Callithrix jacchus: one gene and its partners. The protein of the gene in region 2 binds, or shares a complex with, the protein of the main gene of each other region. Links are inferred from orthologs where the notes say so. Each region holds a gene or a part of one and is shown on either strand. Other genes may lie near its edges.

Region 1 (4,169 bases), on a different chromosome or scaffold from region 2:
CTGTAATCAAGTCACCTAGCACCAATGACTATGTCATCTTGACACCAAAAACTAAGTGAAAGATGAGGAATTTAATCAAGTTACTATTATAACTTTCTTTTTTAAAAAATTATTATTATTTTTTAAAGATGTGGTTTCACCATGATGGCCAGGCTAGTCTTGAACTCCTGACCTCAGGTGATCCACCCACTTCGGCCTCCCAAAGTGCTAGGATTACAGGCGTGAGCCACCTCACCCAGCCACTATTACAACTTTCTTTCTTTTTTTTTTTTTGAGATGAAGTTTCACTCGTTACCCAGGCTGGAGTGCAATAGCGTGATCTTAGCTCATGGCAACCTCCGCCTCCTGGGTTCAAGCAATTCTCCTGCCTCAGCCTCCTGAGTAGCTGGGATTACAGGCACGCGCCACCATGCCCAGCTAATGTTTTGGATTTTTAGTAGAGATAGGGTTTCACCATGTTGACCAGGACGATCTCGATCTCTTGACCTCATGATCCACCCGCCTAGGCCTCCCAAAGTGCTGGGATTATAGGTGTGAGCCTTCGCACCCGGCCTATTACAGCTTTCTTAAAAAGTCAGTTAATTTTCCCAGTACATTACCAGATCCTAAAGCTGTGTCCCTAATGATAGCAAAGTTAAGCACTTCCTTTGTCCTAGAGACATTTATTCATTCAAAAGAAAAGCCCACAATGCTTCAGTGGATTGAACTGTTAACCAAACAGTTTAATAATAGGCAGCTTGTGAGTGGTTTTTAGATCGCATGGCTGATGATGACTGGTGGCCAATGCAGATACTAATTAAGTACCCTAATCAAATTGTAAGACAGATGTTTCAGCATTTGTGTATAAAAAAAAAGTCAGTTAATTTATATACGAGAAATCTTTAATTGATCAACTGAAGAAAAAGCCAAAGGCTTGAAATAATTAGCATAAACCATATTCACAGATAGGAAGATGTAACTGCAAATAAAGCATATTCATAGGCCACAGGATGGTATTGATTCCAAGTACAGATTTATACTCACCATGAACTTCTGTACACTAAGAGGGAAAGTAGCGGAATATAGTAAAATCTGCCTGTTTTTAGGTAGCGTGAGAATAATATCCTCCATTATCTGCACAAAATCCTGTGACAGCAACTTATCTGCCTGCAGCATAAAGAAAAGACAATTTTAAAAACAATAAAATAATCTCTAAGGACTTGGGTTAATACATGCTCAAAGAATAAGGCATCACCCAACAAAAGCATCATGAAATGTTTCTGGTTGAATACAATAAATTCTCTCCCGCACTGCAGTCAAATATTCAGACAGGGGCAAAATCTATAATCCCTATCTTCTAGTGAAAAAACAATCTACACTGCAGATAAAACCCTGCCTTCTGAAACAGAATTTAATTAATTAATTTATTTCTAGAGACAGCATTTCACTGTCACCCAGGCTGGAGTGTAGTGGCACAATCACAGCTCACTTCAGTCTGCACGTCCTGGGTTCAAGTGATCCTCTTGCCTCAATCTACTGAGTAGCTAGGACTACAGGCATATACCTCTGTCCCCAGCTCCACAACAGAATTTAAATGTGATGATTCTCATTAAGGAAGTAACATGGTATAGTGTTTCAAAGTATAGCTTCCGAGGCTGGGCATGGTGGCTCATGCTTGTAATCCTAGCACTTTGGGAGGCCAAGGAAGGCGAATCACCTGAAGTGAAGAGTTTAAGACCAGCCTGGCTGATACGGTGAAGCCCTGTCTGTACTAAAAATACAAAACTTGGCTGTGCATGGTGGCACACACCCGTTGCTACCTGGGAGGCTAAGGCAGGAGAATCACTTGAACCTGGGAAGCAGAAGTTGCAGTGAGCCGAGATCGTGACATTGCACTCCAGCCTGGGCGACAGAGTGAGACTCCGTCTCAGAAAAAAAAAAAAAAAAGAAAAAGTACAGGTTCTGGAGCTAAACTGCCAGGTTCAAATCTTGCCTCCTTCATTTCTTAGCTGTGTGGGAATGTTACAGAATGTACTTTAGTTCTACAACTGTAAAATTAGAAAACTAAAATTTGGATGTCTACATAATGTAGTAACTACTTTATAGAGACTTAGAAAAAACTTGGCCTTCAGTTTATTCAGCCACTCCTCTGCTTAAAAATTAAACTTAAACTCCAGCATCTGTAAGAAAAAGACAAAAAGCTGAATTCCTATGAATGCCTATCTACTGTATCTGAAGTATAAAACATATTTTATAAGCAAATTAAAATTTGGATGTCTATATACTGTAGTAACTACTTTACAGCATACCTACCTTATAGGTTTGTTGTATAAAAATTAAATTAAAAAACATGTAAAGCACTTAGTGCTGGTACACAGTGATTAATAAATGTTATCTCTCATTACTTAAAGACAAAAGCTTGATTTGAATTAAATCATGTTACCTAAAACACAAACCCGGCCAGGCTGGTGGCTCACAGCTGTAACCCTAGCACTTCAGGAGGTGGAGGGGGAGGCAGAAGAATCACCTGAGGTCAGGAGGTCAAGACCAGCCTGGCCAACATAGTGAAACCCTCAACTCTACTAAAAATACAAAAATTAGCTGAGTGTCGTGGTACACATTTGTAATCTCAGCTACTCAGGAGGCTGAGGCATGAGAATCACCTGAAGCCGGGAGGCAGAGGTTGCAGTGAGCCGAAATCATTCCACTATAATCTGGGTGACAAAGTGAGTCTCTGTCTCAAAATAATAATAATCATAAAACACAAACCAAATGTGAAAAATACCTCACGTCAAAATATTAACAACACTGATATAATACGAATGCTCCTTGACTTACAATGGGATTATGTTCTGATAAACTCAACCTAAGTTGAAAATATTGCCTAAACCAACTGATCATCATCACTTAGCCCAGCCTCCCTTAAACATGCTAATTAAGGTAGTTACTACATTATGTAGACATCCACTTACCTTAGCTAACAGGTGGGCAAAATCACCTGACAACACTGTATACCGTAGTGTATTGGCTGTCTACCCTTAATGATCATGTGGCTGACTGGGAGCTGCAGTTTGCAGTATATTACTAATGAGAAAAAATATCAAACTTAAAAATTCAAAGTACAGTTCCTAATGAAAGCATATCACTTTCACTGAAAAACTGTAAAGGGAACCATCATAAGTTAAGGACAATCTGCACCTGCACAAAACATGGCTACATCGCAGGACTATAGATTTTATTAAGTTCTTAAAAAGACATTTACAACATGGTGGGATAAACAGAGACCAAAAACCAAACAATACCAAGTAGTATGCACAAAATGAGAAGGGAGAATATATATTACATGCTTTTAAAAAATCACTGAGTAGATAGAGACTTAGAATTAACTTGGCTTTGAGGTTATTCAGCCATTCCTTAAAAATTAAAATAAAACCTAACTTCTGGCATCTCTAAGAAAGAGACAAAATGCTGAATCCCAATGAATGCCTATAATCTACTGCCTCTGATGGGTAAAACACATTTTATAAGCAAACTAATTTAAACTGACTATTTACATGTTTATTAGATTATAAACACGACCAGCTTTTGCTTCATTCGCTGGCAGTTATAAGCAAAGCACAGAAAAGAACAGAATAGTATAATGCCAAATGTAGAGACATTACCTCATCCAATACTATCATCTGGACATGATCAACCTTTGCTACTCCTTTCTTAATAAGATCCAGGATTCTCCCAGGGGTAGCAATCACCACGTGCACTACACAAGATTTAGAAAACATATATTCTCATTAATTTTAATTTTGGCAAAAGGGATAATGTAAAGGTTTACCATATAGTCCTGAGTTGCTTAATGATTAATTCTGAGAAATGCATTGCTATGTGAGAAACCTAGATGGTATCGCTTACTCCACTGCATAGCTCCATTATAATCTCATGGGACCACCAACATACATGCAGTCTGTCACTGATCAAAACACTGTTATGCAGCACATGACTATCTTTTATCAGAAACATTAGGCCAGGCACAGTGGCTCATGCCTATAATCCCAGCACTTTGGGAGGTAAGGCAGGTGGATCACGAGGTCCAGAGTTTGAGACCAGTCTGGCCAACGTGGTGAAACCCTGTCTCTACTAAAAATATAAAACTTAGCTGGGTGTGGTGGTGGGAGCCTGTAATCCCAGCTACCTAG
Region 2 (4,763 bases):
AAGCGATTCTCCTGCCTCAGCCTCCAGAGTAGCTGGGACTACAGGAACAGGAGTATAGCCACCATGCCCAGCTAATTTTTGTATTTTTAGCAGAGGGGGATCTCACCCTGTTGGCTAGGATGGTCTTGACCTCTTGATCCTTCCCCACCCCCACCCCTCCCAAAATGCTGGGATTATAGGCGTGAGCCACAGCTCCCGGTTTTCTTTTTTTTTTTCCCCAAGAAAGGGTTTCACCATGTTGGTCAGGCTAGTCTTGAACTCCTGACCTCAGGTGATAAGCCTGCCTCGGCCTCCCAAAGTGCTGGGATTATAGGCGTGAGCCACAGCTCCCGGTTTTCTTTTTTTTTTTCCCCCAAGAAAAGGTTTCACCATGTTGGTCAGGCTAGTCCTGAACTCCTGACCTCAGGTGATAAGCCTGCCTCGACCTCCCAAAGTGCTGAGATTATAGGTGTGAGCCATCACGTCCAGCCTTTTTTTTTTTGGCGGGGGGGGGGGGGGACGACGGAGTCTCACTCTTACACCCAGACTGGAGTACAGTGGTGCAATCTCAGCTGGCCACAACCTCCACCTCTGGGGTTGAAGCAATTCTCCTGCCTCAACCTCCTGGTGCCTGCCACCACACCCAGGTAATTTTTGTATTTTTTTTTTTCCTTTTTTCTTTTTTTGAGACAGAGTTTTGCTCGTTACCCAGGCTGGAGTGCAATGGCACGATCTCAGCTCACTGCAACCTCTGTCTCCTGGGTTCAAGCAATTCTCCTGCCTCAGCCTCCCGAGTAACTGGGACTACAGGCATGCGCCACCATGCCCAGCTAATTTTTGTATTTTTAGTGGAGACGGGGTTTCACCATGTTGACCAGGATGGTCTTGATCTTTTTTTTTTTTTTTTTTTTTTTTTTTTTGTTAGACAGAATTTCACTGTTGTTACCCAGACTGGAGTGCAACGGCACGATCTTGGCTCACCGCAACCTCCACCTTCTGGGTTCAAACAATTCTCCTGCCTCAGCCTCCCTAGTAGCTGGGACTACAGGTGTGCACCACCATGCCCAGCTAATTTTTGTATTTTTAGTAGAGACAGGGTTTCACCTCGTTGACCAAGATGGTCTCGATCTCTTGACCTCGTGATCCACCCGTCTTGGCCTCCCAAAGTGCTGGGATTATAGGCGTGAGCCACTGCGCCTGGCCAGTTTTTGTATTTTTAGTAGAGATGAAGTTTCACCATGTTGGCCAGGCTGGTCTCGACCTCCTGACCTCAGGTGATCCACCCACCTCATCCTCCCAAAGTGCTGGGATTACAGGCATGAGCCACAGCACCCAATCAATTCTAGACTTATTTCCACTAAGACTCAGAAGACCCATATTTGTTGAAAAGGGACCAACTCTCCAAACAAGTTTTATCAACATGTCATCATTTCAGTCAAAGCACAGCTAGCCACCTAAAACCATGTATCATCAATGTGTTTTCTCCTTAGACAAGGTAACAATTCGCAGTGTCCTAAAACGTAATTATTTAAACTGTTACAACCTACCTTCTTAATAGCTAAAATCCTCTGTTGGGTAGGAATACAAACCTGGACCACAGACCACTTAACTATTAAATCCAAGTACCTCTAGAAAAATAAAATTTGAGGCCGGGCGCGGTGGCTCACGCCTATAATCCCAGCACTTTGGGAGGCCAAGACGGGTGGATCACGAGGTCAAGAGATCAAGACTATCCTGGTCAACAAGGTGAAACCCTGTCTCTACTAAAAATACAAAAATTAGCTGGGCATGGTGGTGCACGCCTGTAGTCCCAGCTACTCGAGAGGCTGCGGCAGGAGAATTGCTCGAACCCAGAAGGTGGAGGTTGCGGTGAGCCAAGATCGTGCCATTGCACTCCAGTCTGGGTAACAACAGCGAAACTCCGTCTCGAAAAAAAGAAAAAGAAAATTTGTTCTTAATCTGTTTGATCTTCTTCCTAATATTTTACTTGCCCTCCCTCAGTTTCTTAATCCATGTATTCCCTATTCCTATCAAAGGGACTGTCATAAGGAAAACGCTCAGCATTTTTTTCAAAAAGTTTACTTGTATTTACTCAATTATACACTTAAAAAAAAAATCCAAGTAGTCACAGGCGATCAAATTGTCGAGGAACAGGCAGGGAGATTAACTATTGTTACTCAGTTTTCAGGAAGAAAACTGCCTTTAATTTATTACAGTCCTAAGAAACGTGACATTTAACTTTAGGGGAAAAGTTTGTCATAAAGTTTATTTTAAATATAACATTTTCAAATGCACAGATATCAAGCATTCTTTTTTCATCTACAAAGTTTACTCCTTGCGGAGTTAGTATCTGTGAGCCCTGTTGGGTGAATTCTGCAGAGGGTGGTACTGAAAAAAGTATTATTTGTCTTTGGCCTTAAGTACCTCTACAAGACCTGCAGAGGATCTCTCGTCAGCCTTCAGGCCTATGAGTGCTCAGCTCACTAGCGGGACACTTGTCTTGGGTGAACAGGACCGCCACTATTGCAGACACCGGACCGAGCAGGTGGGGGCCGACTTCAAAGAAAGTGTGAGCGCCCGGGCGCGCTAGTGGAACAAAACCTGTGGCAAGTAATAAGGAAGTGCTCGCTCCCGCCCGCCCTTCCCATCCGGGGACACCCGAAACATGGGGGGCTTTGACAATGTGCAGGGGGCGTAAGAGGGGGAAGAGTGGCAGCTCCGAGCACACTGAGAAAAACTGGAAACGTGCAAAAACTCCAAACACCGTTCCCCCCATCCGAAGCGCTAGGCCTCGGGAGCCGATGCCCACTGCACCCATCCGGGTGCAGAGTGAGAAAGAGTAGTTGAGGAGGTCGTGGGGGGGTTTCAGGAGGATGCAACCCGCGCGAAGCCAGGCCCAGCGACACCAACTGCCGCCACTGCCGCCCCCTGAGCCTCCAGGCCCGGGACAGAGGCCACCCCGGGTCTCATCCCGCGCTCTACCCTCCGCTTCCTAGAGCCTTCTCGCTGGCCTCATCTTCAGAGCGCGAAGCCTCCGAGAGCCGTCTCCCGCCTCGCCCCACTTGCCCGTCCCGGCTGCCTCTCACTCCCCGGAGCTCCGGGAAACGCTTCCAGTGGCCCCAGGTGCACCCCTGTTCCTCCTCCCACTGGCACTGGCGTCCCCAAGCTAACACCGCCACCGTACCCCAGGCCCTGACGCCAGCCCGCCTCACCTCAGACGGCTCCAGCAGCGCTGAACACAGGAAACTCCTGGGTCCCCGACTCCAGCTCTCCTCAACCCCCTCTTCGGTTAACTCCGCTTGTTTCTCGACAAAATGGCGCCGGAGGTCGCGCGCTCACGTCGCGGCCTTTCCCCTCCCCGTTCCCATTTCATCATTCGCTGCCCGCCCGAGGAGGGATGGTCCCAGCGCCAGCCAATGGCCGCGCCCCGCCTGTGGCTCCCGCCCAATCACCGACAGCTACCCGCGGATTTAAACCAATCACACTCTATCACTTGCAGAAGTCGAGGAAGAAACCAGGCTTTTGCTAGCAACTACCAATCCAGACTTCTACTTCGTGGACTGTAGCCAATTGCCGCTCACCAGGCCCAGGGGACCTGAGTCGGAGCCCTCGCGCCTGCGCTCGAGGCGAGGGCCAATAGAGAGACGCTGATAACTTCGATTTGGGGCTTCATGGACTTCCTACCTGCCCTGGAGGGCTGCGACCAGTGGCGCTTGGCATTGCCTTTGAGGAACAATAAATTATGGAAAGGACCCATAGCTCCTCGCCACTTTGTGCAGGAACTACTTTGAGTTACAGTGAAACAGCCTTCCTCCACTTTCCTTTCTCTTTCGAAATGTCACAGTCCAGTAGACTTCGGGGAGTACCAACCGAAACATTCCGCCCCCCTAGTGTCCCTTTGGCGGGGAACACCAGCCAGAAAGCAAGTCAGATAGTGACTAGAGTTGGGGCGCCTTGCATCCTGGGATATGTAGTCGCGCTTCCCTACCCTGTTCTCATCGGAGAAGTACCGCGTCTTCTTCCGTCACTGGCTGCGCCCTAGAAGGAGCAGTACATGCTGGGGGATGTAGTCACACAGGTGGCCACCTGGTCCTCGCTTGCTTCGCTTTCGTCAAGGGAATTTTCTCTTTTAATTCTGCCTATTGAAGGAAACACAAGTGTTCTTCCTGGCTTAAGTCCTAGGAGCCGTCTAAGAAAGGATACCCATGTCCTTTGCTCTCAAGTGGAAAAGCATAGAGACATATTTTGCTATGGTTTGTTTGTTAACTATGATAATTGGTAAGATTTTATGCTCACCTGTACCCAAAAGAGAAAGGACTGGAAGGAAGTGTTGACTGGTTAACTCTATTACCTTTTGAAATTAAAACCTATCCCCTGCTCACCCCTGCTCTCAGGCTAGGCTTAGCAGGTGATCGCCTGGCCATCTGTCTCATATTACCTCTTGTGCCAAAAAAAATACTGAAAAAAAAAAAATATATACTGAAAAAAAAAAAAAAATGATGGTAAAAAACATGAAATTTGCCGGGCGCAGTGACTCACGCCTGTAATCCCAGCACTTTGGGAGGCCGAGGCGGGTGGTTCACAAGGTCAAGAGATCGAGACCATCCTGGTCAACATGGTGAAACCCCGTCTCTACTAAAAATACAAAAAATTAGCTGGGCATGATGGTGCCTGCCTGTAATTCCAGCTACTCAGGAGGCTGAGGCAGGAGAATTCCCTGAACCCAGGAGGCGGAGGTTGCAGTGAGCCGAGATTGCACCATTGCACTCCATCCAGCCTGGGTA
Region 3 (4,169 bases), on a different chromosome or scaffold from region 2:
TTAAATAAACACATTTTTAAACTTTGGTGAAAACAAGAACCACTGAAGAACAGGACAAAATGGTCAACAAACAGGTAGGGCTGGAATAAACTCAGTGGCAGGAGACTGAGTTCACATTAAATCAGACTAGCTCTGTTCCTAGAACACAGAAATTGCTCCATTATGTGGTTTAGCAGAATATGAGCAAGTTGCTTTCAGGATGAATTATGGACTTACAAAGCAAAAGGTCAAATATTTCTAAAATGCATTATATCTACAATGTATGATTTCTGGCAGAAAGATTATGAACATAAGCAGATAAAATCATTAGCTCAAGAAACTTATAGGAATCAAGGAGATAACTGGAAATAGAATTCAAGAGCCCCCTGGGCTGTATTCCTTTCTAAGAGATCTTTGAAAATATACTTCTCTTTCTGACCATGTAGAGTAGCAACAGAAAGTTCAAACAACAAGAGTAATGCATCATAAGGCTTCCCTGGAAATTGCCTACTCTGGAATTTCACAGTAGCATTGAGAGTTACAGTGAGAAGATAAAACTCTGATGGCTTTTAAAATTCAGCATTTCAGATTTTAAAAGAAATCTAAGTTCTAGGCTGGGCGCGGTGGCTCACGCCTATAATACCAGCACTTTGGGAGGCTGAGGTGGGTGGACCACGAGGTCAAGAGATCAAGACCATCCTGGTCACAAGGTGAAACCCCGTCTCTACTAAAAATACAAAAATTAGCTGTGCATGGTGGTGCATGCCTGTAGTCCCAGCTACTCGGGAGGCTGAGGCAGGAGAATTGCTTGAACCCAGGAGGTGGAGGTTGCGGAGAGCCAAGATAGTGCCATTGCACTCCAGTCTGGGTAACAATAGTGAAACTCCGTCTCAAAAAAAAAAAAAAAAAAAGAAATCTAAGTTCTGTCTTAGACAAACTAAATGTAGTAGTTATATTTATATCCCCCCTTCCCTCTCCTAAAGACACAGGAATTATGCCAAGGGATTGGGAAACTGTTCAGCAGAGTATTTCACTAAAAAAGTCCTATACAGCCACTAAATGTTTACCTGGGGTTATCTGAGAGTCGAAGGTAACATCTCACTACATGCTTCAGCAGACGGGCAGAAGGTTCTTTGGACAACTGCAGGACCATCTTACCCTGTTTCCCCCCAAATAAAGGGAGGGGTTGGAAAAAACACACAAAACACAAAAAATTCTAATTGACATCAGAAATCAGATAGTCCAAGAATCATACAAGGTTCCAAAATTATTACTTCTAGTCAGAAGACTGGAGTTGTTCAGTGCCAGTTATAAAGAGATTAAACTGTGTGATGAGAAGTACTTGTAAAAGGGATAGATCAAAGAACTCACCAAGATCATGGCAACATGGGAGAAACGCTCATATGTCTGACATATATAAGCCAAACCAGTGTCATCTAACAAGATCTTCTGGAGGATGAATGTGGCAACCTGAAGCAAAATAAAATCGAAGAGTTTATAAAGTTGCTCAGATTTATCTTCTCATTGCCCCAGGCATGATTATCAATCGGAAAATTGAGCAAGCAGGGATCCTTGTATGTTATATACAACTTTAAAATATACGTATAGTACAAATAATAAATATTGTCATAGTGAACATAACTTTGTGCCAGTTTTTTTTCAAGAGGCTTTACATGCTTTTATCTTTTTATAATCAATTCAGCTATGCCTCATCTCTTCCAGATGAGGTAAGACCTTTCCTGTTCTTAAAAGATCTTTAAAGCCAGGCGTGGTGGCTCACGCCTGTAATCCAAGCACTTTGGAGGCCAAGGTGGGCAGATCATCTGAGGTCGGGAGTTCAAGACTGGCCTGACCAACATGGTGAAATCCCGTCTTAAAAAAAAAAAAAAAAAAAAAAAGACCTTTAAGAAGTAAGTCGTCCCCCGCCCCCACCACCACCACCGACGGAGTTTCGCTTTTGTTACCCAGACTGGAGTGCAATGGCACGATCTCGGCTCACCGCAACCTCCGCCTCCTGGGTTCAAGCAAATCTCCTGCCTCAGCCTCCCAAGTAGCCGGGACTACAGGCGAGCGCCACCATGCCCAGCTAATTTTTGTATTTTTAGTAGAGACCGGGTTTCACCTTGTTGACCAGGATGTTCTCGATCTCTTGACCTCGTGATCCACCCGCCTCGGCCTCCCAAAGTGATGGGATTATAGGTGTAAGCCACCGCGCCTGGCCAGAAGTAGTAACATTTTTAAGCTTCTCTTCGATTATTCCGATAGTAATAAAAAATATCCTGACTGTGAAGCTAATAACTAGCCTCAATTTTCCCCTCAACTTAAACTTATTAACTCTTACATAGAAGAGATATTAAGACATTAATTTCATTCAAATCAGACAATCATGATACAATACTCTTTCTTGGCTGCTCATCAGAATGAATTGTGGAATTAATTTACTATTTTATTGGGGTTAAAACACTGTAGTAGGCTGAATAATGGCTCTCAAAGATATCCAGGCCCTAATCACCAAACTCTGCAAATGTTATCTTAAACCAAAAAGCGGACTTTGCAGATGATTAAGTTAAGGATCTCAAGATGGGGGATTATCCTGGTTTATCCAAGTAGGCCTTAAATGTAACCACAAGTATCCTTAACAGAGATGTAGAGAAGGTCAGGCAAAGTGGCCCATGCAGGTAATCCCCGCACTTTGGGAGGCCAAGATGGGAAGACTGCTTGAGGCCAGAAATTCAAGGATGCATTGAGTTATGATCATGACACTGCACTCCAGCCTGGGTGACAGGCAAGACCCCATCTCTTGAAAAAAAAAAAAGAGAGAGATGTAGAGAGAGATTTTACCACAAAGGAGAAAGCAATATGATAAGCAGAGAGAGATTTGAACATGCCACACTGCTGGCTCTGAAGATGGTGGGGGATGGAGGGATGGGACCATAATCCAGGGAATTTAAGAAATGCAGTTCTAGAAGCTGGAAAAGGCAAGAAAACGACTCTCCTTTATATTCTCCAGAGAAAGAATGACCCTCCTGACACTTTGACTTTAGGTTAGTGAAACTCATTTAGAACTTGGGACTTCCAAAATTGTGAAACAGTAAACTTGTATTGTTTTAAGCCACTAAGCTTCTACCTTGTGGTAATTTGTTATAGCAGGAGCTTATATAGGAACTTAATATAAACATATACAAAGAAGTGTGTTAAGTGTACTAATATTAAGTGTACCTTGATGAATTTTTACCTCTGTACACATTTTGTACTATAACCAGATTAAAATACAGAATATTTGGGAGGTAGAGGCAGGCGGATTGCTTGAGCTTAGGAGTTCAAGACTAGCCTGGGCTACATGGCAAAAGCCCATCTCTACTAAAAATACAAAAAATTTGTTTGGTATGGTGGTGCGCACCTGTAGTCCCAGCTACTCAGGAGGCTAAGGCACAAGAATTGCTTGAACCTGGGAGATGGATGTTGCAGTGAGCCAAGATCATGTGATTTCACTCCAGCCTAGGTGAAAGAGTGAGACTGTTTCAAAAAGAAAAAAATAATATTTCTACCAACTCAGGATTCCAGCATTCCCTTGTACCTTTCTCCAGTCAATGTCCTTCCCTCAGAGGTAATCATGAATCCAACTTATTGCCAGTAATTGGCTTTGCTTTCTCTTCACATAATCAACATACAGTATGAATTCCTATGTGTCTGGCTTCTTTTGCTCAACAGTACTTTTGAGAGTCATTCATATATTGTACATTTAAAATAAAAAATTTTAAAACAGCCAGGTATAGGGATGTATGCCAGTATCACAGCTACCTACTCGAGAGAATAAAGTGGGAAGACTGCCCAGGAATTCAAGGCTATAGTGTGCTATGATCATGCCTGTGAATAGCCACTGCATTCCAACCTGGGAACCATAGTGGGACCTCATCTCTTTAGAAACAATAAATTGGCCAGCCACAGTGGCTCATGCTTGTACTCCTAGTACTATGGCAGAAGGCAGGAAGATCCTTTGAGCCCAGGAGTTCAAAGAATAGCCTTGGCAACATGAAGACCCTGCCTCTACAAAAAATAAAAATAGCCGGGCGTGGTGGCTCACACATGTAATCCTAGCCCTTTGGGAGGCTGAGGTGGGTGGATCACCTGAGGTCAGGAGTTCAAGACCAGCCTGGCCATCATGGTGAAACCCCATCTTTAAAAAAATA
Region 4 (4,736 bases), on a different chromosome or scaffold from region 2:
GTCCCGACGTCGCTGGCCTTGTATGGTCCGGAGACGCGGTTCCTCCGGGGCCCCTCCTAGACACGCGGCCCCTATTACCCACACACCCTGGCCTCGCGGGGCCAACCACGGTGGGTGTCCGAGGCCTCGGGCCTCCAAGGTTCGGAAATACCAAGATCTGGTAATTCCTGGGCTCCAGGGTCCCGGGTGGCCAGAAACCCGCAACTCCGAGCCACCAGGGTTCCAGAGTCTAAAGCGCCAGGGGACTCAACCTGAGACTCCTAAATGTAGAGATCCTAGACTCTTGAGACCCTAAAACCCGCTTCCTCCCAACATCCCAAAGGCGTCGAAGCCCCCCAGGAACCCCGAGTCCCGAAACGGGTTCCGTTACCCCAGGCTGCCCCGCCCCGCGCCCGCCCCCGCTCGCCCTGGGCGCGCGCCCCAGCACATTCCGTCCTCTCCACCCGGCCCCTCCCGCCTCCCGCGGCCCGGTGGGGACGGAAACATCCCGTACCCGCTCGCGCGCGCCCGCCGGAGAGCTGGGTCAAGGAGTTCGGCAAGACCGGAGCGCGGTGCCCCGACGCCCGGGAACTGGCTCCCCCAGTTCTCATCTGGTGACCTCACCTGGTCACACCCTTTCAGGTGAACGGCCAGGCCTGGTGACGTCACTTCCTGCCAGGTAAGCGCCGCGGGGCTGGGAGGAGCAGAGCTGACTGGTTCCAAAAAGTCAACCCCTTCCCTCCCCATTCTTGTCTCTAGACCGCGAAGAAGCGAGGATCCCAGCTTACACGCAGATTCCGTTTATTTAAAAATTTTCAAAAACACAAAAATAGACTTTTAAGGTAACAATATATATTACTAAATATATTATAGTCTACTTATAATAATTATACCGTCGTTTCCAATATTACAAAAAAAGAGGAAGAAAAATACGAGGGAAGCAGACGACCCAATATATATAAATACTATAAAATCATATTAGAATAAATAAAGTCGTCATAAATAAAGACCCACTGATTCATGGGTAGGGTTTGGCATCAGCTTTGGCTACTTGCTTTTGGAGGGTAATTTGAGCACCAGGATCCCCCTCAGGGGAGGTTCCAGTTACCAGGAGACTCTGGAACCTCAGATCTCTAAAAACTGGAGGGGCAGAGAAGGCCTATTATTCACAGCACGTAAGATTCCAGGAGACAGATTTGCGCAGGGAAGAGGTGGGGAGAGGGTTCATTGCCTCCCTTAAATATGCTACATTTTTTTTTAAGAACCTCAGAAGACACTCCATCCCCCACTATGAATACTGAGCTTGCACACTTGGGGACCTGCCCCAGCTTGAGGTCAGGGGAGTGGGTTAATGCATTCTGGAAAAGGGGGTTACTTGATTACTGTCCCCCAAGTCTCCACAGCCCTGGGTCCATGCAAAGACCACAGTGCAAGAGATGTGGCTTCCCCCGTGAGATCCAACTGATCTGGCGGGGCAGAGTCACTTGTCATTCAGAAACAGAGATGCGATTGAAAATGGGGAGTCGCCGGGGGGCTGCCGTGGGCTGGGGTGGTGCAAAAATCCCCGCCTCGAAGACTGGAGAGTCAGAGCCCCCCAAGCTGCTGCCGCTGCTGGCGTATTCATCAGGGTCAGATCCCAGGGATTGTACAGAGGGGCTTCGAACCAGGCCACCCAAGGCCCCCCCCCAGACGCTCATAGGGGTGGCCCTTCGGCAGGAGGGGCAACAGACCGGGGTGGGGTCTCTTCGAGCCACAGGGGTACCAGGGGCAGCAGAGAAGGCAGAGGGTGACAGTGGAAGGTCCCCAGGTGGTGGCGGGGAGCTGGAGGGCGAGAAGGAGCAGGACAGGGAAGGGCCAGCCAGGCCTGGCGGTGGTGGTGAGGTCCGGCGGCCGGAGGGCAGGCCAGAGAAACTGATGCTCTGGCGAAGCACAGGAGGGTGGCCCGGGGCTGCCAGGTCTTCGCTGGGGTTGTGGATGAAGTGGCAGCGAGAGCCGTAGGGGCAGCGGCCCTGGAGGTAGAACTTGTGGCAGAGTTCCGTCTTGTACTTGGGGTGGCGATTGGCTTGGCGCAGCTCGCCCAGGCCATGGGCAAACTGGCATTTGGCCCCATAGCGGCAGCGCCCACTCTCTGAGAAGGTCCGACACAGCTCAGTCTTGTAGCGGGAGGAGGTGGTGGGGGTGGCTGTGGGCGAGGTGGGTGAGGGTGACAGCTCGGGGCCCAGGTGGGGAGCCAGCGGTGCGAAGCCAGGGGGTGGGGGCACCCAGCCAAAGCTGCGGCCCTCCACCAGGCTGGTGGAGCGGCCAGGCAGGCGAGAGATGACCCCAGACGGGCTGGAGTCAGAGGGGCTCAGGCTCCAGAGTCCCGAGGAGCCCCAGCCTGGGCTGGACTCAGTCTCTCCGTGGTCAGATGGCACGGGCGCATCAGCGTTCAGCGACAGGAGGCTCTGCGGAAATGGGTCGGTTAAGGCACCCGAATATGCAGGGCGACGCCCCACCCCAGCTGCAGGGATCAAGAGCTTGCCAGGCCGGTTTGTGGGCTCCCGGCCTGAGCCCCACCCGCTCGCAGAAACTCCCAGGTTCCAGATGCCAGGAACCCAGATTTGGAGATTCCGAGTTTACCCCCGACCGAGGCATTATCCCGAGGGACCCAGGAATTCCTGTTTCACCGGCTGGACCAAGAGGGGTCCCCGAAGTCAGAGCGCACCCCTGTTTCCCAATTTTGAGTCTCTGGACCTCCCCGGATATGACCCACACGTCGGGATCTCCAGTTTCACAACTGGAGGAACCGGGCAAAGTTGACCCAGGAGTCCGGATCGCTTTGGTTTTAGGGTTTTCAGAGAACTACGGTCAGGGACTGGAGAGACGTAAGTCGGATCCCCCCACCCTAAGACTTCAGCCCCAGACACGCCTCCGCGCAAAACCACGCCCTCAGCAACCACTAGGGATGAGCCAGGTATGGGGGCCACTTCCGCCTCCAGGCAGCCTCGGTGTGAGAAAAGTTCTCCGACTTTCCACTTTCCCGGGCCGCCCCACCCATGTTTGAGCCAAGACCCGGGAGACCAGAGCTCCATTTCACCTCCAAATCACCAAGCGGGTCTTGAGAGTAGAAGGCAGGGGCGCCGAACTGGCGCACTAGGGGGCCCCAGTTGGAGAAGGGAGGCAAGCTCCAGTCCCGGGCCGGAGCTTGCAGCTCTAGAGAGCTGGGAGTCAGGCGTGCAGGTGCCGAGTGGCGGGGACTCACCTCGTAGATGGCGGTGAGATCCATGGTGTAGCGGTTGGCCATGAGGAAGTCGGCCAAGTGTGGGAGCGCTGAAGTCAGGCTGAGGCTGGCAGGGAGAGCCAGAGTCTTATAGACGGCTTGGGGCGGGGCCGGGGGCGGGGCAGGAGGGGCGCTTCCCGGACGCGCGCCCCTGGCGCAGCCTGGCTGGCCCTGGACTGGTTCCCTTCCGCCCGGCCCTGGGCCAGGACGCGCCTGAGTTTGGCCGGTGGACAGCCGCGACCGGGCGGGGAGTGCGTGGGGCAGGGGTGGGAGTCGAGGTGGGGGTGCGGATGGCGGGGCGCCTGCCGAGTTTTCAGAGCTGGAGACTGAGGCTTGTAGAAGGGAACTGGGACGGAGGTGGGGGCAGGGCTCCAGGGGCAATTGACAAGGGCAGAGGCCCGATGGGGCGTGTGCGTGCGACACAGAAGAACGGGGGCGACGAGAGACACGCAGAGGGGTACAGACAGACAGGGAGAGAGGCAGAGAGAAAAACATCAACAGAGACCCAGAGAAGGATAGAGAGGGTGAGGAGGGGAGGGAAGGTGGGGAGAGAGAGAAAGTCCCAGAGACAGATTCAGAGGGAGAAGAGGGTTGGGAGAATCACAGAAACAAACCGAAAGGGGCTGAACGAGTGGCTCACGCCTGTGATCACAGCACTTTTTGTGTTTTTCTTTCTTTCTCTCTCTCTCTCTCTCTTTCTGTGTTGCTCAGGCCGATCTCGGGCTCCTGAGCTCTAGTGATCCTCCCACCGCGGCCTCCCAAACAGCTGGAATTACAGTTGTGAGCCGCCAAACTCTGCCAATCCCAGCAATTTGAGAGGGTGAGGCAGGTGGATTATCTGAGATCAGGAGTTTGAAGTCAGCTTGGGCAACAGCGAGATCCCATCTCTATAAAATGTATTATTAAAAAAAAAAAAAAAAAGATGACACCTGTTGTCATTGAGAAAAATAAAGAAGGAAGGAAAGACTGGACACAAAAGGAGAAAGACTATGAGAAACAAGCACTTAAAGAAAGAAATCTGTAGAACAAAGCCCCAGGAAAGAACCAGCAGGCCTTGGAGAAGAATTCTCCAAGAACTGCCTGCCTTGGGTGGTCTCACTCCCAAAAAGCCCAGACAGATAAGGAGGCTGGGACCGCCCTCCCGATCACCACTTGCTGGGATTGGGTGAGTGAGTGAGTGGGTTGGGGTCCAGGACACCTGGTGAAGCTGAAAAGGGGCCTCCTTTCCCAATTAACAGGGCGCCTCTAGCCCTTCACTTTCAGGCAGATAATCTGTTCTTCTGGGCTGATCATTGTTCTAAGTGCTTTAAGTATGTGCAGTAACCCTAACAAGCCAGGTGATGTGCCCATTTAATGCAGGAGGAAACCATAGTCAAGTTACTCTTCCGCCTGGCTCACACCTGTAGCCCCAGCACTGTGGGTGTCGGAGGTGGGAGGATCACCAGGGCTCAGGAGTTAGAGACCAGCCTGGGCTACATAGCGAATCCCGATTTCTACA
Region 5 (4,848 bases), on a different chromosome or scaffold from region 2:
ACTTCACAGCCTCACAGACCGTCTATAATTTGACTCTTAAAAATACAAAATAGCTTAGTTGATCTTGCCACCTGCCTAGCCCTTTTGGCCTAGAGTAATGGATTGATCTGTTTATAGTGGTCCTTTGAAAAGGCAGAACTGGAGCAGTGGGAGAGGTAGGATTCGTGTTGACCTTAGAAACTTCACCCAGAAAGTGAAGCTCATTTAAATTGTTATATTTTCTAGTAAAAGGATGATTACAGTTTCATTAAGCTACTTAATTCAGGCCCAATCAGATCTGCAGTTCTCTAGTCTGGGAAGACTAGCAGGGTTGGATTTTCTCTTTCCTGGCTAAGAAATTGCTTTTCCCCTACCCGCCCCGGGATTCTTGATATGCACCTTTGCCCAAAAAGACAGCTGTCCAGTATTTTCCCCACCCTCTAAACACACCTTCAAATGAAGGTTCCTGATTGAGCCAATTTGCTGTGGAGGAAGTTAGCTGTGGAATGTGAAAGCAGTCTAATTGTCTAGCTAAATCCTCCTGCTGGGAGCGTAATACACGTAACACTGAATTTCGTGCTGGTATCTTCAAATAGTGATGCATTTCAGATGAGTTCATCTTAATTCACTTATTTTTGCCTTCTACATCTGTCTTGATTGGCAGCCACACTGGCTGCATTCCAGTGTGGCATTCAGTATGGCGGATTTAAAGTTGAGGGTGGGAGGGTAAAGTAGGGGTTAGGAACTGTTGCCTAAGGATCAGGTTTAGTTTTATGGGTAACTGGTGGGGTTCCGGAAATGGACGTGGGTCTTCCAGTAGGAATGGCAACATGAAGGACCTCCAACAATTGCTTTAATTAGTGCTTATTCTAGTTTGAGCACTGCCTGTATTCTTAAGGTCAGACGCAGCCCACGGTCGAACCTTCTTGAATACGAGTTGATAACACGAACAGGTCAGAGCTAGAGATCCATCTTCTATTTGAGAGGCAACAGCTGGAATGGGCTTTCCTCCACTAGGAACCCTGAAACTGAGCAATCCAGGGTGAATTAATACTGGTGTCTTGTCTTCCTCCCTTTGATCGTAATATAAACGTTTTTCAAGAAGTGAGTGTGTAGAGAAAAGGCCAAGTAGGAAAGTTACAGGTGAGATTAATGAATTCATACTGTTACTGTATAAATACACAAGTTTTTTAAACAGCACCATTTCCAAGTTATACACAATATGATTACGACTTGGCACAACTTTTAAAGGTGGAAAAGGCTAGTTGCTAGTTCAGTAATAAAAGATCTGGTACATAAAATGATAAGGAGCTGTATTCTACCTGCTACAGACTGTGCATCTTACACCTCCAGCTAGGACAGAAACAAGCCACAAGGAGGGAATACCCGCCCAAATTAATACTGGAAAGTTTACAAAACCTTCACTTCTCATAAGGGTGATGCTACCAGGGGCTTGCTTCATCTGGAATTAGAGTAACTGATTTTTAAGGACAACTAAGAGTATTACTCGCTTCAAACAATAAAATAGTCACTTTGCCGACATTTCATAAAATCGCCAGTTTTAAGCTCAGTTCAGAGGCTTTTAAAAAAATATTCTAGACCTAGTAAAGTGCCTCCATTCATAAAATGAAACATCCAAGATTAGATTGAGACAATTTCATACTGACGCGCATCTAAAATAGGTCGACGTATACAGTAAATAAACAGCGCCTCTATGTTGCCATATTTCAGTTAGTGGAATACACACCCAGCCTTCGCCGTTCTGGATGTGCAAACTAGAAACTGAAGACAAACGGGAATTTCAGCGTCTAGTCCCAACCGCTCCGCACGAAAGTACTCCACACGGTCGCTGCTTTTGAGAAACCAGGACGACGTCCCAAGTCGAGCTGACTGCTGAGCCAGGGGCGAGATGCTGCGCAGACCGAGCGGTTCGAGGGGCGGCAGTAGCGACCCTGGGGAGCCGAGAGCCAGGGTCCTCAGCGCAGCTTCTTACCGGGTGGGCAGTCCCTGGCGCTGCGGGGCGGCGGGCGGGCGGGCGGCGGCGGCGGCACTTTGGAGAGGGGGCAGTACTTGATGGTGTGCGCGTTGTCGCCGCTGGCGCCGCAGAGGGGACACGTGTAGCGGCGCAGCACAGGGCACAGCACTCGCCCGTCGGGGCCCTTGAGGATGTGGGTGGTGTAGAGCGCCATCGCCTCCTTGTTGTTCCGGCAGAACACGCACACCTGCAGCTCCGGCTTCAGCAGCCGGGAGGCCGCCGCCCCGGAGGCCGCGTGCAGCCGGGGCTCTGCCGCCCACGCCGGGGCCCGCTCTTCGCGCGGCGTCGCCTCGCCGGTGGTGGTGGTGGTGGCGGTGGCGGTGGCGGCGGCGGGCGCACAGCCCAGCAGCACGGCGGCAGCGCGACCCGCGAACGGGCTCAGCTCGGCGAAGCGCTCCTCCAGCAGCCCGGCCTCGGCGGGGCCAGTGCAGAGCTCCAGTGCGCGCAGCTCCAGCGCGCCCCCCAGGTAGCGGCCCCGGGACCCCGGCTCGTCGCTGTCGTCGTCGTCGTCTTCGTCGTAGTCGGGCGGTCCCAGCGCTGGCTCCAGCGCCCCGGGCCCGGCTCCCCCGTGTGGGGAGCAGCAGGACGAGTGGGAGGAGGAGGGCGGGGAGCCGCCGCCGCCGTTCCCACCGCGGGCGTAGCCGAAGCGCGGCTCGCCGTCCACCGCCTTGGTGATGAGCGTGGCGAGCCCCAGGTAGTCGTTCCAGGAGCTGAAGGGCTGCGGATGCGCCGGGCCCGGGGCGCTCACGTAGCGGGCGCTGGGCACGAGCGCCATGGGCGCGGGGGCGCGGCCGCGGCGGGGCGACCAGGGGAAAGCCTCCATGGGCTGGCTGCGGGCCGCGCGCCGCCTCCCCGCCGCCGGCGCGGGCCGGACGGAAGACACGCGCCAAGCCTGCCCGCCTGCCTGCCGCGGGGTGGGGCCGCCGAGCCGATTTTTATCGGACCTGCTCCTCCCCGCCCCCCGGCCTCGCCGCCGCGGCCCTGCCCCCTGCGCTCCCCCGCCCCGGCCACCTCGCCCGCGCCCTGGACGGAGGCGGAGCGGAGGCGGGCGGACTGTGAGCGCGCTCCGCTCCGGCCCGCGCGGCTCCCGCGCCCCGTGCGCTGCGCCAGCCTCGCCAGCTGCCGGGCGGCCTTCATTCCGGGAGGGGGCGGGTGAGGCGCCGCCTCGGGCCGCGGCGCTCATTGGCTGCCGACCATAGACCCGGCGCCTCGGGCGCCGCTCCGGATGCTGATTGGTGGGGTCTGGGGAGGGGGGCGTGCTCTTTACGTCCCTGGGAGGTGAGGAGAAAGTAGGGGAGAGCGCCGGGGAGGGGCGGCTGCCGGGGCCGGCTTCGTCTGAGCGCTAGGCCTGTGATTGGAGCAAGTGACCAGGCCTGGGTCTCCTCGGCCTGGTAGTGAGGCCCACCGAAGACGGGGTCAGGGTGGCCACAGGTTCACGCCCCCGTCTCCCAGCCTTTAATGGCCCCAGGCCCGCATCCTGAGAATCCCCGCTGTCCACCCCCTTCTCACCAACATCAGCAAGAAAAGCTGGACGCGATGGAAGGATGCAGCTTTCCCATCACAGCCCGCCCAACCAGCCAGTGGCTTCCGTTTGCACCGCGCGTTGGAACGCTTTCTCCTGTGCGAAATCCACACAAACCCTGAGGTTCGGGGAGGCTGTGGTTCCTGCTGTGGTAAGAGCGGAGGGACGCAGGACTTTTCCCAGCAGCCTTCCTCCCAACAAGTGCTCAGGAACCTCAGCTAATGGGTCGCCACAACACGGTGACTTAGGTCGGGGTTGGGCTGGGTCAGAAAATCTCATGGCTGGAGAGCCCAGGACAGTGATTGGGGTGTGTGTGTGTGTGTGTACCCCCTTGCCCCAGAGGCCTGGGTAAAAATGTGGGTTGTATGTGCACTTTGAAAAAACATGTAATCAATGTTCTGTTTTGTCTCCTTCCTTTCTTTTTCTCTCTTTTTTTTTTCTTCTTGCCTTGTTTTTTTTTTTTTTTTTTTTTTTTTTTTGAGACAGGGTCTCACTATGTTGCCTAGGCTGGTGTTGAACACCTGGCCTCAAGCGATCTTCCTGCCTTGGCCTCCCAAAGTGCTAGGATTACAAACATGAGCCACCACACCTGGCCTCAACGTTATAATTAAACACTTTCAAATGAATAAAACATGTTGTGTAAAAGCCATGGAGAATAAGAGCCAGAAGATGAGTTTTGATTAGGAAGATGACAGGTGGTCTTATCCTTTCCAGCTTTTTAAAAAATTGAAAGTAGGAAAGGCTTTAGATGTTGAGGGCTCTTCTAGGATGAAACCTAGAACTGGGATCAGGAAAATGCCTTCCCTGGTAGATGGGCTGTGGCAGGGTGGGCTGCATGGGGCGGGTGGGGGTTTCCTTCCCCATTCTGGACCATGCAGTGGCTGAGGAAACAGTGAGCCCTCACTAGGCCTGAGGCCACACTCACATGTCTTGGCTGTGCCCAGCACATTTAGAATGGCCCAGCAGGTGATGCCCAGAACCTGGTGCTGGCATTGGTTAATATTAGAGTGAGTGAGTGAGGGAATCAGAATGTCAGCATGGGAAGGGATCTTTGGGATTATTCTGTTAGATCTTTCCTTGCCTTTTTTTTTTTTTTAATAGACGGACTCACTATGTTGCCCAGTCTGGTCTTGAACTCCTGGCCTCCTGCCTTGGCCTCCCAAAGTGCTGGGATTACTAATGTGAGCCACTGTACCCAACCTGAAGTCCAGTCCTTACAGATGAAGAAAATGAGGCCTAGAGAGTAGGACTTTTTTTTTTTTAATGAGACAGAGTCTCAGCCTGTTGCCTAAGCTGGAGTGCAATGGCATGA

The links.
Region 1: the proteins of CNOT1 (region 2) and DDX6 are in contact, whole or in part, in a crystal structure (PDB 4CRW), measured with the Homo sapiens proteins. The link is inferred for Callithrix jacchus from reciprocal best matches to the Homo sapiens genes CNOT1 and DDX6. Residues at the interface, in NP_057368.3 of Homo sapiens: Glu1097, Ala1100, Phe1101, Phe1103, Asn1104, Asn1105, Leu1106, Ser1107, Ser1109, Asn1110, Lys1114, Lys1137, Arg1138, Ile1141, Glu1142, Asn1144, Phe1145, Leu1148, Tyr1149; in NP_001244120.1 of Homo sapiens: Phe329, Ser330, Arg331, Leu332, Gln333, Ile334, Asn335, Gln336, Leu357, Gly358, Tyr359, Ser360, Leu384, Arg386, Asn387, Ala402.
Region 3: the proteins of CNOT1 (region 2) and CNOT9 are in contact, whole or in part, in a crystal structure (PDB 4CRU), measured with the Homo sapiens proteins. The link is inferred for Callithrix jacchus from reciprocal best matches to the Homo sapiens genes CNOT1 and CNOT9. Residues at the interface, in NP_057368.3 of Homo sapiens: Ile1415, Ala1416, Thr1418, Thr1419, Gln1422, Ile1423, Lys1426, Asp1427, Phe1428, Met1444, Asn1447, Leu1448, Gly1451, Met1452, Met1454, Ile1455, Arg1458, Glu1459, Tyr1548, Gln1549, Arg1552, Met1553, Pro1554, Gln1556, Ile1557, Leu1559, Val1564, Lys1567, Gln1568, Leu1569; in NP_005435.1 of Homo sapiens: Arg19, Glu20, Tyr23, Ile26, Asn27, Ser30, Ser31, Pro32, Arg35, Pro54, Met55, Trp57, His58, Ser59, Phe60, Gly61, Ile63, Ala64, Ala65, Leu67, Gln68, Val71, Asn72, Tyr74, Pro75, Ser76, Ile77, Asn78, Pro79, Thr81.
Region 4: the proteins of CNOT1 (region 2) and ZFP36 are in contact, whole or in part, in a crystal structure (PDB 4J8S), measured with the Homo sapiens proteins. The link is inferred for Callithrix jacchus from reciprocal best matches to the Homo sapiens genes CNOT1 and ZFP36. Residues at the interface, in NP_057368.3 of Homo sapiens: Gln821, Glu835, Asp845, Ala848, Asn849, Phe852, Gln853, Tyr856, Asn894, Glu897, Glu898, Phe901, Gln904, Tyr905, Pro906, Glu909; in NP_003398.3 of Homo sapiens: Arg314, Arg315, Leu316, Pro317, Ile318, Phe319, Arg321, Ile322, Ser323, Val324, Ser325.
Region 5: the proteins of CNOT1 (region 2) and NANOS1 are in contact, whole or in part, in a crystal structure (PDB 4CQO), measured with the Homo sapiens proteins. The link is inferred for Callithrix jacchus from reciprocal best matches to the Homo sapiens genes CNOT1 and NANOS1. Residues at the interface, in NP_057368.3 of Homo sapiens: Ile2327, Ile2330, Lys2331, Trp2338, Glu2350, Phe2353, Gln2354, Val2356, Ala2357, Met2361; in NP_955631.1 of Homo sapiens: Phe40, Ser41, Ser42, Trp43, Tyr46, Leu47, Leu49, Thr51.

Annotation. Positions count from the first base shown.
Region 1 is NC_133511.1:18,400,915-18,405,083, forward strand, and holds part of DDX6 (putative ATP-dependent RNA helicase DDX6), read right to left. Parts: intron 3,737-4,169; coding exon 3,642-3,736; intron 1,147-3,641; coding exon 1,024-1,146; intron 1-1,023.
Region 2 is NC_133521.1:16,470,228-16,474,990, forward strand, and holds the start of CNOT1 (CCR4-NOT transcription complex subunit 1), read right to left. Parts: upstream 3,291-4,763; 5' UTR 3,192-3,290; intron 1-3,191.
Region 3 is NC_133507.1:140,331,952-140,336,120, reverse strand, and holds part of CNOT9 (CCR4-NOT transcription complex subunit 9), read right to left. Parts: intron 2,195-4,169; coding exon 2,102-2,194; intron 1,450-2,101; coding exon 1,351-1,449; intron 1,139-1,350; coding exon 1,047-1,138; intron 869-1,046; coding exon 589-868; 3' UTR 1-588. UniProt on the Homo sapiens protein: Component of the CCR4-NOT complex which is one of the major cellular mRNA deadenylases and is linked to various cellular processes including bulk mRNA degradation, miRNA-mediated repression, translational repression during translational initiation and general transcription regulation.
Region 4 is NC_133523.1:34,892,524-34,897,259, reverse strand, and holds ZFP36 (mRNA decay activator protein ZFP36), read right to left. Parts: upstream 3,302-4,736; 5' UTR 3,263-3,301; coding exon 3,221-3,262; intron 2,424-3,220; coding exon 1,467-2,423; 3' UTR 764-1,466; downstream 1-763. Other genes in the region: uncharacterized protein LOC144580767, read left to right, coding at 289-658. UniProt on the Homo sapiens protein: Zinc-finger RNA-binding protein that destabilizes several cytoplasmic AU-rich element (ARE)-containing mRNA transcripts by promoting their poly(A) tail removal or deadenylation, and hence provide a mechanism for attenuating protein synthesis.
Region 5 is NC_133513.1:111,982,371-111,987,218, reverse strand, and holds the start of NANOS1 (nanos homolog 1), read right to left. Parts: upstream 2,926-4,848; 5' UTR 2,838-2,925; coding exon 1,956-2,837; 3' UTR 1-1,955. UniProt on the Homo sapiens protein: May act as a translational repressor which regulates translation of specific mRNAs by forming a complex with PUM2 that associates with the 3'-UTR of mRNA targets. Capable of interfering with the proadhesive and anti-invasive functions of E-cadherin.